Linked DNA regions of Mus musculus: all the other regions are reported to be linked to region 2. Evidence: microRNA targets listed by miRTarBase, many of them from high-throughput screens and not tested one by one. Region 2 holds a microRNA gene; each other region holds the end of a gene's coding sequence.
Evidence for each region. The annotated mature microRNA mmu-miR-449a-5p reads UGGCAGUGUAUUGUUAGCUGGU and lies in region 2 at 810-831, opposite strand. An mRNA with a match to its seed (bases 2 to 7 or 8) in the 3' UTR can be bound and repressed. Matches are read on the target gene's strand: a 7mer-m8 pairs with bases 2 to 8, a 7mer-A1 pairs with bases 2 to 7 and ends in A, and an 8mer does both.

Region 1: miRTarBase lists Ctsa as a target of mmu-miR-449a-5p. Seed matches in the 3' UTR shown: 7mer-m8 at 2,121-2,127.
Region 3: miRTarBase lists Myc as a target of mmu-miR-449a-5p. The part of its 3' UTR that is shown has no 7-base or 8-base seed match.
Region 4: miRTarBase lists Lef1 as a target of mmu-miR-449a-5p. The part of its 3' UTR that is shown has no 7-base or 8-base seed match.

The regions. Positions count from the first base shown.
Region 1 is chr2:164,838,757-164,841,993 of GRCm38, forward strand. It overlaps Ctsa (cathepsin A), which reads left to right. Exons shown (of 15, transcript NM_008906.4): 14 at 89-193; 15 at 395-2,276. The coding sequence ends at 478. It overlaps Pltp (phospholipid transfer protein), which reads right to left. Exons shown (of 16, transcript NM_011125.2): 13 at 1,739-1,781; 14 at 1,565-1,628; 15 at 1,358-1,434; 16 at 762-1,072. The coding sequence ends at 950. Among named protein-coding and RNA genes, the nearest start is that of Ctsa, 6.6 kb to the left of the region's middle.
Region 2 is chr13:113,035,380-113,038,379 of GRCm38, reverse strand. Mir449a (microRNA 449a) reads right to left here and starts at 846; the gene lies at 756-846. Cdc20b (cell division cycle 20B) reads right to left here. Exons shown (of 12, transcript NM_001281487.1): 1 at 2,939-3,000; 2 at 2,604-2,666. Mir449c (microRNA 449c) reads right to left here and starts at 2,397; the gene lies at 2,289-2,397. It overlaps Mir449b (microRNA 449b), which reads right to left and starts at 961; the gene lies at 882-961.
Region 3 is chr15:61,989,383-61,992,586 of GRCm38, reverse strand. Myc (myelocytomatosis oncogene) reads right to left here. Exons shown (of 3, transcript NM_001177352.1): 3 at 2,226-3,204. The coding sequence ends at 2,679. Among named protein-coding and RNA genes, the nearest start is that of Myc, 5.6 kb to the right of the region's middle.
Region 4 is chr3:131,204,325-131,207,561 of GRCm38, reverse strand. It overlaps Lef1 (lymphoid enhancer binding factor 1), which reads right to left. Exons shown (of 12, transcript NM_010703.4): 11 at 2,589-2,629. The coding sequence ends at 2,595. Among named protein-coding and RNA genes, the nearest start is that of Hadh, 66 kb to the left of the region's middle.

The sequences.
Region 1 (3,237 bases), not on the chromosome of region 2:
CTAGGGTGCCAGGAGAGGGCAAAACTGGAGAGCAGCTTTGAGCAAGGATGGGGGTTGCCACTGGCTATCGTCTTTCCCGATGGGACAGATGGAGGTGCAGCGCCGGCCCTGGCTAGTGGACTACGGGGAGAGCGGAGAACAGGTAGCTGGTTTCGTGAAGGAGTGTTCACACATCACCTTCCTCACCATCAAGGTAGGACTTTGTGCCTAGTGAGGGACAGCCGGGGCCAGAGCGGGGGAGTGGTGTGACTTCCCCGTCTCTCTCTGATGATTCTGGGTCACCCTTGATGCATTGGGCGAGCTTGCAGGGTGAGGAGGTGAAGAAGGAAGCGGCTGGAAGTGAGGGGTGATGCATGTTGGGGATCCAGATCTCTCATAAAGCTTTGCTCCCCAGGGTGCCGGACACATGGTCCCCACGGACAAGCCTCGAGCTGCTTTTACCATGTTCTCGAGGTTCCTGAACAAAGAGCCTTACTGATAGCTTCCGCTGCAACCCATGGAAATCCTCAGTACCTGATCAGCCCCTCTCGGCCTCTCTCAGCAGAGAGGAGTCCTCCGCTAATGCTCCCGTGGGGCAAGTCCTGTACTAAAACTGCCCAGACTTCTCACAGCCTGGTGCATCCCAGCCTGGGCCTCAGGGCGTCACAGACAGCCTAGGACCAAGTGAGCACTTTGTTCCGGCCATCGTGGGGTGGCCTGACCTCCCCGACTGCATAAAAACTGACCACCCCAGGACCCCAACAGAGCTAGAGAAACCCAAGGAGGGGGGTGGATGGATTCTAATTGATGGTTGACTAATTCTGGAATTAAATCGGGTATAGCTTCCAACTGGGCTCTTCTCTGTGGCACCGGGACCACTAACACTGTAGATGGGAAGGGGTTGGCAGGGGGTGCAGAGAAGACTTCAGTTAGGTTCCTGAATGCCAGCCACCCAGGTGGGGTGATGGGCTCAGGCAGCTGCAGCAGAGGGTGGGGGGACATGGGAGGCCGCAACGTCTGCAGGACGGTTCTTGTCAATCACTTCTCGAAGCCCTTTGGCAAAGTGGAGGTCAGCCCCAACAGTGACGAAGCCCTGCGGGAGGGGACAGGGAGCCTGGCTGGTTCAGTTGTTTGGAAACAGCCTCCAAACAAACACAAGACTCTTGAGCAAATCCCCTCAGGGGCCCCAGCTGCTTTGCGGCGTGGCGTATGTTCTCTGGAGCATGGCCCTGCTTCTAAGTTAAATCTTTACTACTTAAATAATATATATGTGAAGGAGCAACTAGTGTAAAGGGGTTTCGGGAAAACAGACAAGCACTGGGGTGTTGTAGGGACAGGAATGCCCTGGTCTACGGCCTCCTTTCCACAATGTACTTACCGCGTGGTTGGTCACCACCTCACGCACGAAGTTGATACCCTCAGGAAGGGGGATCTGCACCCCACGCCAGGTACGCTCTGTGGATGAGAGAGGCAAGCTCAGCCTGGGTGTCCATCAGTCCATCTGTGTCGTCATGTCCACCATCCACCGCCGTCCCCCCTTTGTTAGTCCGTGTCCCCACTCCATCCTCCCACCCTCAGTCCCTACCGTTCAGCAAAGGCATCACTCCGATTTGCAGCAGTGTCTTCAGTGGGGCCTGCAGTGGGATCAGCTGAGGGGGAAAAAAAAGGCAGGGGGGGGCGACAGACAGTGCATACAGGTTTGAGTGAGCGGCCAACTTGCCCCGAGGCCTGGACCCACCCTTTGCCATCCCCAACTCACCGCCAGAGACTCCAGCGCAGACTGATTTGAGTAGATTTGAAACCTGTGGGAGAGAAATACACCGTGAAACCTGGGAACACCCTTTCCTTGGGCCCTACCTAAAAGATGGCAGCAAGTGACAGCCTTCCCAGTTCTATCCAATCATCCTTCAGGTAGCTGCCATTTCCCAGGTGTGCATCCCTGAGTGCCTTTGGTCTCTGGAGCCCCCTTTCTTTAAGCCTACTGCTTTTCTTTTTTTTTTTCTTTTGTCTTTTTTTTTTTTTTTGAGACAGGGCTTCTCTGTGTAGCCCTGGCTGTCCTGGAACTCACTCTGTAGACCAGGTTGGCCTGGAGCTCTGAAATCCGCCTGCCTCAGAGTGCTGGAATTAAAGGCGTGCGCCACCACTGCCCGGCGCCTGCTGTTTTTCATTTGTCAGGAATGCCTATGTGCCACGCTCTGCGGCTAGGTAAATAAGTATGGTTTTATCTAAGGAAATTCCAACAATCTTTACTCTCTGTCAGATACCAAACTTATTCAAAAGAATTAAAATGGCTCTGCAAAATGGCTCAGTGTGGTGGGTAAAGGGCCCGACTGCTTGAGTTTGATCCCTAGGGCACACATGGTAGAGGGGAGACTGGACAGGTTGACCTTTGACCATCAATGCACTGTGTGACACGTGAGTGCCCTCACACATAAATGCATATGTTCATAAGCTCACACACACGAGTTAATTACAAAAAGGAAAGCCTGCCAGCTGTGTTGGCCCATTTCTTTAATCCCAGCACTCAGGAGGCAGAGGCAGGTGGCTTTCTTTGAGTTTGCAAACAGCCCCAGTGAGATTTTTTTTTTTTTTTGTCTCAAAATGGGTTTGAGGAGGGGCACAATACTGAAGAGATGGCTTAGAGGGCTTGCTGCTAGCTGGGCAGTGGTGGAACACGCACTTGGGAGGCAGAGGCAGGCGGATTTCTGAGTTCGAGGCCAGCCTGGTCTACAGAGTAAGTTCCAAGACAGTCAGGACTACACAGAGAAATCCTGTCTTGAAAAACAAAACAAAAAGGGGGGGGGGGGGAGGAGGCTTGCTGCTCTTCTAGCGGATCTGAATTCGGTTCCCAGTGCCCACATCTGGCAGCTCACATGGCTTATAACTCCAGCTTCAGGGTATCTGAAGCATTCTGATCTCTCCAGGCTCCCGTACATATACATATTACACACCACACCACACACACACATACACACCACATGCATACATCACACACATCGCACACCACACCACATACACACCATGCATACACACATTCCACACACATACCACACACTTATCAAATAAGAGGACAGGAGAAAGTTGATGGATGGTTCAGTGTCTAAGAGCTCATACTTCTCGGGGGAACCAGCACCCATGACACACAATTGACGACGTCCTGGAACTCCAGGAGAGGGCATTACTTTTGCACCTACATGCACACACACATACCCACACATACAAATTTGAGAGCTGCCAAGGTGGCACAGACCTTTAATC
Region 2 (3,000 bases):
TTCATCAGGAGATTTTGGCCCAATAACTTAAAGAGTGCAGTCTTTTTCTTTTCTCTTCTATGTCTCTAGTAGTCACCAGTACACCACAGTGAGTTCTGGTGATTTCCTGCAGATGTCCACCTGAGGTCACCATATGACCTCTGACTCTGTTCCGTGAATCAAACGGCCTTCCAAAGAATGAGGAAGTATTTTAAATAATATTTATGGCCAGCTCTTCTTCTTTCTTTATAAACTAGATCTCATGTCCTTCCAATTATTGTAAAAAATATTTGCAATATTTTATACAAAATGGAAGAACTGAGTTGTCTCCCCAAATAAATAAGCCCATCCCTACCACATCCCCAAGATATCCCAAATTGTCTAGATACTTCTAGTGAAGATGTTTTAACGTGTGGGTCATTTTGAAAGTTAACACAAATTCTCCCTCCACTTGGTGTATACATAAAGTTGGAGAGACCTGCTCTACTCTATCATGAAACTGATTTAGTTGGAAACTTGGGCAAATACACAAGGCTTTCCATTTTATTCTAAATCTTGTGTTAAAACAACAAACACATAACTTTATAAATGCTTTGATAATGTCAAGCTAGGACTCAGAAAATATTACTTGAGTTTTTAAAGTAACAATGGTTAGTACTTTCACTGCTATAAATATGTCCTTGTGTCACCCCAAGCCACTAATAGCTGTTATCATAATAGTACCCCTCTTCATGGCAAAGCACATACATGAGCTGTAAATGCATGCTGGTGGTGATTGTGTGTGCAATAGGAGAGCAGTCGCATGTTAGCTGGTGCCGCTCACATACTCAACCAGCTAACAATACACTGCCAAGCCATCACACACAGGCAAGACAGCGCACCTCATTAACAAGAAGAACCCAGCCAGAAGGAAGTGGCAGGGTAGCTGTGGCTGCTGGCCTGACCCAACGCAGCCAGCTAACAACACTGCCTACCCGAGTCTGGCAAGTTCGGATTTTCACAGTCTGTGGAGTGGCTGAGGCTAAGTTTCTAACAGAAAGACACTGCTGCAGAGCTGCTGGAGTGTGGTGGCGTGGATACGGAGAGCAAGGGAACTCTGAGGGAGCCAGTTTTCTCCTTCCACCATGTGAATTCCTGGGATAGCATGGCAGTAAGTGCCTTTACTGAACCTTCTTGCCAACCCCAGAACTCTAATCTTAGTAACTGAAGAGGATTTATAGAGAAACCTTGTTTAATGTCTCCTAAACTATAAGAAACAAAATTTATATTACCAAGCTATACCCATGTTTTAAAAAAAAAAACTTTTAAGAACTTTAAATGTGGTTTTTGATGTTTTGTTTGTTTTTCCCCCTTGGGGGTGGGGGGTTGATTGGCTAATTTTTTTCTAGACAGGTTGTTTTTGTGTTTTTTTTTTTTTTTTTTTTTTTTTTTGTAGCCCTGGCTGATGTGGAACTGCTGTGTAGACCAGGCTGGCCTGGAGCCGGGAGATCCACCTGCCTCTGCCTCCCAAGTGCTGGCATTAAGTGCTTGACTAAGAACTCTGTATTCTTATACTTGGGTTTTCCAAATTTAATGTTAAGTTAAAGATGTTAGCAAAGTAAAAATGAATTAACAAAAGTTCAATTGAATTAGGCAGTAAAGTATCTAGAAGATAAAATAATTTGGGCAGGAAACATAACTAAAGACACAATGTAAAGGCTTTTAAATGTTATTTCTCTATAGGTGACATTAGTCACTGCATTTTAAAAGGCCAGCTATATATTTGATTTCAAGCGTCACTGATTGAATATAGAAAAATGTATGTTATCTAGAAAAATATTCAAATGGTGAGATTTTAGCTAATAATCTAAATTTAAAAGCATGTGGGCTATTTGGTGTAAAGAGAAGTAAGTGGTGCTAGAGATGTGAGTCAGATGAGGATTTAACTTTTTCATCCATTAAAGAAAGTACAGGAGCTGGAGAGATGGCTCAGCGGCTGAAAAGAGCACTGGCTGCTCCTCCAGAGAACACAGATTAGATTCTCAACACCAACAGGGCGGCCCCCAAAAGCCTGAAACTCCAGTTCCAGGCGATCAGAAGCCCTCTTCTGAGCTCCGCGGACACCACGCACACACGTGATGCACAGATATAAGTGCAGGTAAATAAACACAAGGTAATAAAAATGAGTTTCAAAAGAACACTCTTTTAAAAAGAACTGCAAGCTTTGGGTTAGAGCTTTAAGGGGCAGAAATACTATATTGGATCCAGCTTTTAGTAGCTGTCTTGAAGACACCTCCTTATCCACCAGATGGCACTATTTCCACGTCTTTGCATGCTTCTGAGTGCAGCAGAGGGTAGTGCAGCTAGCAACTGTTGGGATAAAGTTCTAACAGCCAGCTAGCAATGCACTGCCTGCCTGACACACCCACACTTCATCCTCTGTGGAGCCGGACACTGGGAAGCGCCCGCTAAGCAGGTATAAGTAGCTACATCAGTTGTGAGAATCCATTTCTTAAGTCTTCAGATTCTGTAAAGGTTTTTAATTTGTATTAATTCTCCCATAATTCCTGCAAATGCCTTCTATAGCAAGAATTAATTTGCTCGAGATCAGAATGAAGACAGAAGGGCAAGCCCAGAAAACTCACCTTGGGGGAACCTTGATTTCGCTGCTGCTTCATGCCGTTGGCGAGCACCCGCATGATGTTCTCCTTTGGAAATAGATTAACATAAGAAGGGAGAAAACTCTAGGAAAATCGTCACGGAGAGTGGGGAATTGTTTTGAATCCTGGGTTTGCTGATTCACTCATTCTTTCTAAAGCAACCAGGTATCTCCAGAACTTAAATTTCACACCGTTCAAAATTTAAACTAGGCTGTAGAATTTCATGGCATCTTTTGGTCCTTACTGGGTATTACAAACCGTACCTTCTGCAAGAAGCCCCATGGGAGGGTTGGGTCAAGAAAGAAAAGGATGGTACGCACCCACAACATCTCTTCTTCCGTCCGGATCTTCCTCCGGGCGGTGCGTTGCAGTTTCCACTCCA
Region 3 (3,204 bases), not on the chromosome of region 2:
GACTCAAGCACTATCCTGGTATTGTGAAACTTTTGTTCAACTTAAAGTGTAATTGATTGCTTTTTAGTGTTGTCCCCGAATGATAGCATAAAGTCACACTTCCTCCTCACTCAGTTTATCCTGAAGAGCACCATCCCAGGGATCCTCTCGGGGAAACTGAGTTCCAGTGTCATGGGTGAACAACAGAAGAGACTAGCTAATTCTTGTATATCCCAGACCAAGCTGAAAGCTCCTCCCACTTCACCCCTCATCGTGATTGTTATCTATAAATTTGATTGCACAATGTTGCAGACCCCTGGGACTCCAGATTGGCTGGGAGAGCCTTCCTGTGTTATGGTCAAGATCAGCCTGACTTTCTGGAAGGAAGCTGGCCGATGTCCTGTTTTCAGACCATTCCCTGGCTTGGTAAAGCTGAGAAGTGCCCAGATAGGGAGCTGTGATACTTCGATTCCATCCCCACAGCCAAATCTGAATCTCTAAACTTGTTTCCTGATCATTTGGAACAGGAGTTGTTTTCCTAATGAGGAATGCTTTCCTCTATTCTTTGGGCTTGCCTGGACTGAGTGATTCAACCTAACACCTTCCCAGGTCTCAAGTGAGTCACCCCAGGGCTGCACTCCAGCCTAGGCTCACAAAGGGGAAAAAGAGGGAACTATTTAAGAGCACCCCCTGCTCCCCCCTTTTGCTAATCCTTTGAACTACTCAAAGTATTTCAAACTACTACTGGGGTTTGTGTTTTCTTTTGAATGTAGGATAGAGGGTGTAACAGTTTGAAGCTGAGGGTGAGTCTAAAAGAGCCAAAAATAAGATCAAAAACTAAATGTTAAACGCTTCAATAGATCATGGGGGGGGGGTGTCAAAGATAGTAATTACTTATTGGTTTATGAATGATGGTGAATTAAAGTCCCAAAGACACTCCAGGATGCTAGAGACCTTCTCTGAGACAATGGGGTCATTTAGGACATTTAGGGTACCTTTCTCCCTGGACTTTACCTACATGTTTCAGTTTCTGGTTTGGATTGTGGCTTTTCAGAGGCTTATAATTAATAAGATACCTGTTCCAAAAGGCTTTCTCATGGGCCATTGATGAGCGTGTGTCATGAGTGTGTGAAAGTGCTTGGGAGGAAGGCGAGCTTGCAATTTCTAAAATAATGACTCATGTAAAACAAGGTTTTATTTTATGATCTGACCAGTAGCACTTCTAAACTGGCTTCTTCCCAGGAGCAAGCAGGGATCTGATGTTAAAAACTAAGTGGGTAAGGTAGGAGTGAGCTATGTGCCTCTGAGTACACACAACACCCTCCACCCCAACCCCCCAATCCACAAACAAGGAGGGGAACTGAAGTCTACCAGTTCTTGAGTAGTGAAGCTTTAATGACTCCTGCCCTCTCCTTCGTAGCTAGGATCTTCCTCCTGGATGCACTAAGGATAAAGTGGTTTTGAATCCCCTGGGTGCATGGATGGGTTATTTCATGTCTGTTTCTACCTGTACTAGGTATAAAGAGATCATAGTACCTCTTTCGTGGCACTCTGTCAAAGCTCCTAATGGAGCCTGTAGCGCTCATTCTCAGACCCCTAACCAGCGGAAGGACACCCAACTAAGCAAGGCAGCAAGGCTTGTTTTCAAGACAGGGGCCCTGGGTTATTTTTGTTGTGTTCGTACCCATTAAGCTCTGCAACCCTCTGAACCTTTGTATGTCCTTGTTTGGAAAACCAGGATCAACTTAGCAGTGGTAATGCTCTTCCTCTGTTTTTTTCAGAAGCATAGGAGATACTGATGTGAAGGGACTATCACCTGGGAGCAAGAGGCAAGGAACAAACGGTGGTTCTCTCTCCCTCCCCTCACCAGTTCTTTGGCAGGGCAGAGTCCTTGGGTTGAGGTGAACCAGGGAATGGCTTCGGTTAACTGTAGGAGATTCTGCCATCTCTTCCTCCTGTATATTTAGCTGTTATCTTTAACCTCTTGCTTTTCCCTTCCCTGCATCTAGCCTTCTCACTTGCCTTTTGCCCATTCCTAACTAACAGCTCTGGTTTTTATTACTATCCACAGAAAGCATCCTGTAGACAACTTAGAAATCCTGAGGACCCCCAGCCCCATTTTAACAATGATAACCCCTTCCCATATTTGTAAACCTACCCTGTGAAAATGGTCAAATTCTTTTAATCTGTAATTGAGGAAAGGAAGTTTGAGGAAGAGGAAAAAGAAAACACAAGTTGGCCCAATTGTATTTTTTCCAATTATTTTATTTTTTTCTAAAAACAATAGAAAAAAATCAACTTTAAAAATGAAAATGTCTTTAAATAAAAAAAATTATGGTACATGTCTTAAAATCTTTTGTAACTGTTATAAACGTTTTATTAAAGTTATTTACATTTCAAGGCCCTATTTACATGGGAAAATTGGATAGATTTTAAGATTTTTTTAAAAAAACAATTAAATACAAATCTGTTAAAAGGAAAAAGAAAAAAGATGGGAAGCATAAAAAAAAGTTCTTTTATACTATTTAAGTTTGAGGCAGTTAAAATTATGGCTGAAGCTTACAGTCCCAAAGCCCCAGCCAAGGTTGTGAGGTTAGGCTTTGAGCATGCATTTTAATTCCAGCGCATCAGTTCTGTCAGAAGGAACCGTTCTCCTTACTCTCACGAGAGATTCCAGCTCCTCCTCGAGTTAGGTCAGTTTATGCACCAGAGTTTCGAAGCTGTTCGAGTTTGTGTTTCAACTGTTCTCGTCGTTTCCTCAATAAGTCCTTTTCAGAGGTGAGCTTGTGCTCGTCTGCTTGAATGGACAGGATGTAGGCGGTGGCTTTTTTGAGGATCACTACCTTGGGGGCCTTTTCGTTGTTTTCCAATTCAGGGATCTGGTCACGCAGGGCAAAAAAGCTGCGCTTCAGCTCGTTCCTCCTCTGACGTTCCAAGACGTTGTGTGTCCGCCTCTTGTCGTTTTCCTCCGTGTCTGAGGACCTGGGGCTGGAGCACTTGCGGTTGTTGCTGATCTGCTTCAGGACCCTGCCACTGTCCAACTTGGCCCTCTTGGCAGCTGGATAGTCCTTCCTTGTGGAGGGGGGTGCGGCGTAGTTGTGCTGGTGAGTGGAGACGTGGCACCTCTTGAGGACCAGTGGGCTGTGCGGAGGTTTGCTGTGGCCTCGGGATGGAGATGAGCCCGACTCCGACCTCTTGGCAGGGGTTTGCCTCTTCTCCACAGAC
Region 4 (3,237 bases), not on the chromosome of region 2:
GGCAGCAGCTGGGGGCTCAAGGAGAATTGGGGGACAGGGGAAGGTTTTGTTTTGTTGTAGTATATTCAAAGAAGACTCCTTAACCTTCAGGAAAAAAAAATTAGTGGCGAGAATCTCAAAGATTTCTGTGACTTATTAAAGAAACAGGCAGCTGAAGTGCATTTTAAGACAAAAAAATAAGCAGATTTTACATCAAACATTTTGTATCAAACTCAGCTTTTATATCAAATATATCAAGTATATAATATATACATACATACATATGAAATCATGATTACATATATAATCATGAAAGGTATTAAATCAAGTTCCAACTCTTAAGTACTGCAGTGCATTTCACACGAAATAGGTAGCTCTAAAACTGTTGAAGCAAAAGCTGCATTTAGTCCATGACTGAGAGCTGGCCCTGGGCACACTGTACTTCCGAGGGCCTTCTCCGTCATGGCTGGACATGCAAAGGTGGGGTAAACTATTCCTAAGCGATCAGCAATGAAAAGATCACATTTATAAAACAGGCGTGGTCTCCAGTGCCAGCAAACCACGGGTGGTGGTACATGCCGGTAATCCCAGCACTCAGATGGTGGAGGCAGGAGGATCAAAGTTCAAGGTCAACCTTGGCTACATAAGTGAGTTGGAGGTCTGCCTGTGCTACATGAGACCCTGTCTTAAAGAGATGAAACCAAGAAACGAACAGAAACAATACAAGGTGTGTATATGCAAGCTTCTTTCTAGGTTGTTCATCTATGAAGCCAGATGTATCCTGGGGCTGGGATTATAACCGAATCATCCCCTGTGAACTAAAGAACAAACCTAGGTGGCTGGCTCAGAAGACCGTTATTAGTAGCCACTCAGTTAGGTAGCCATCATCTGTGACTGTGTTACGTTTGGGTGTGATGCCACTGATGTCAAGAGGTGGTCCATGGAAGAAGCCATCGAGCCTTAGGCTAAATCAGTGAGGTTAGGTTTGGATAGAGCAACTGTGGTACCAGCTGGGGATTTGGAAACCTGGTAAGTCAGAATGAAGATCAAGAAAGTTTCTCAAAAAAAAAAAAAAAAAAAAAAAAAAAAAAAGAAAGAAAAAGAAAAAGAAAAAGAAAAAGAAAAGAAAGTTTCTCAAGAGAGTAAGCAGCAGGGTTCTGGGAGGAGGGAGGGGCCTTTCTGAGTTCCTATTGGCTAAAGACAAGTTATGCATTCCAGATGAGGAGACCAGACTAAGAAGCTGACTAGAGGGCCCAGGTAGTCGACTGGAAATTTAAATCTACTTGGTGCCAGTACCCTGGGAGATTTCCATAGGGAAACATCATTTGAAAGTTCAGGACCCTAAGTAAATTCTCAAGCTGGGATGGGGTTCCCTGGCTTGGCCCAGAGCATCCATCCGTACTGCAGGCCATTCTAAGGGATGCTGCCCAGGTTGGTGTGTTCGTAAGTAGAGAGAGCAGGCCTTCCAAGCACAGGGACCATCGTAGGTGGTGCTCTCCATCTATTTGTGCAACTGCTAATTTTATCTGGACAGAGCTCACATGGGTCAGTTTGGAAGTGAGAAGAAACCTTGAACAACTGACCCGAGGCACAGACACACGATAGGGCAGTGGCAGATCTCACCTAGGAGATGCGACTGTACCCTTCAGGCAGTAAGAACTGGCTGGCCTTGAGTAGAGAAGAGACATCATTCATTGGTGTTTCGGAAAAATCCCTCCGAGAGCAAAATGGATAAACTGTAGAAGTAAAATCTGTGGCCATAACACATTCCTAACAGCTACAATAATAGCAATGCAGTAAGGGACTAGGGGCTGGCGGTCGAGGAAGGCAAGAGGTAAAGAGGACCCAAAGGAAGCCCTGCAGGGCTGGGTGACTCTGCACAGGGTTCTAGAGAAAGAACACAGCAGATACATTGGCAACTGTGGTCGAGAATGGATACACCCTGTCAATTCAAACTTAAGACCCAGAATTTACCTAGGAAGCCAGTTTCCTGGGTCATGTGGATCAACATTAAAGACTTAGCATAAAAATGAACAAATCAGGTTTGACTTACAGGTCCTTTGGTAAGGTCTAGCAATGATTACCCATAAAGGAAAACACTCAGTAGAAGATATTTTAAAATAGAAAGAAAATGATAAACCCACAAATCTCCCTCCTTACAAACACACTGCCCACACATCATCTCAACCGAGTCTTTACCATGTACCAGGACAGAGACGGGTTCAAAGGTGACCCTCAGACTCATCCCCACTGCAGGTGGGGGATGTCAGGCTGCTTCCTATATATACATTTTTTAAAGGTTGATTTTTTTCCACTGGTCAGTAAGAAATAGCTGCGAAAATAATATTGAGGGCAAGAGAACAGAGAAATAGCAATATGTATATATATAAAATAAAGGCATAATAGACGTGAAGGCACACTGCGTCGGAAACACACAGCTGGGGTAAAAACCCACGAGCGACTGGGTCATCCGCACTAGACTGACTTGGGTGGCCTTTTCCTCTTTTTGGGAACCATGCTGAGCGGAACTGGTGAGAGCGAGGAGATCCGCAAGCAAGCGCCTCGTTAAGAGCTAAGTCAGCAGCAGGGGCCGAGAGAGTTGATCTTACCATGTTTCAGATGTAGGCAGCTGTCATTCTGGGACCTGTACCTGCAGAAAATTGTGTCTTTAAGAAATGTTTATGGAGAGGTTTCTGTACATTCCAAATATGTAGTAGCTATAACACCATGTAGACCTGCTCGCTTTGCCCTTTGGGTTCTCATGGCGGCCCTGTCTGTGTGTTGTGCAGTGCGTGTGGTGGCCCTTTAACGGACAGGGAACAGGACCGACATGGGCCCTCGCTGACTCCTGCCATCAGTGTGAGACAAGCCCCACTTGTCCTTTAGTATTAAAAACCCCAGACACATGAGAGATGCTCAAGGGAATGCAAGGTAGCATGTTGTACTGTCACCGTAGAAGTGGCATTCTTAAGGACTGTGCAAACAGCAGAGGCAGAAGCAAAGAGAAGACAGACAACAAGAAGGGAGAAAAAAAAAATCAACCACTCCTCGTAACTATGGCTCTGGGGCACAGGGATGGGAAAGGAGTCTCTACAGGCACATTCACACTGAAAAGAAAAGTCTTTTTGAAACGTTAAGGCATCTCAGGAAAGGAAGAAAGCCGAGTTAGGGATCACATGTGACAGTCACAGAATGCAGCAGCGTCTAGGAAGATGCGGACTGTTTACAAGGAGTCGGCAAGAAGCAGGCGCGTCAACA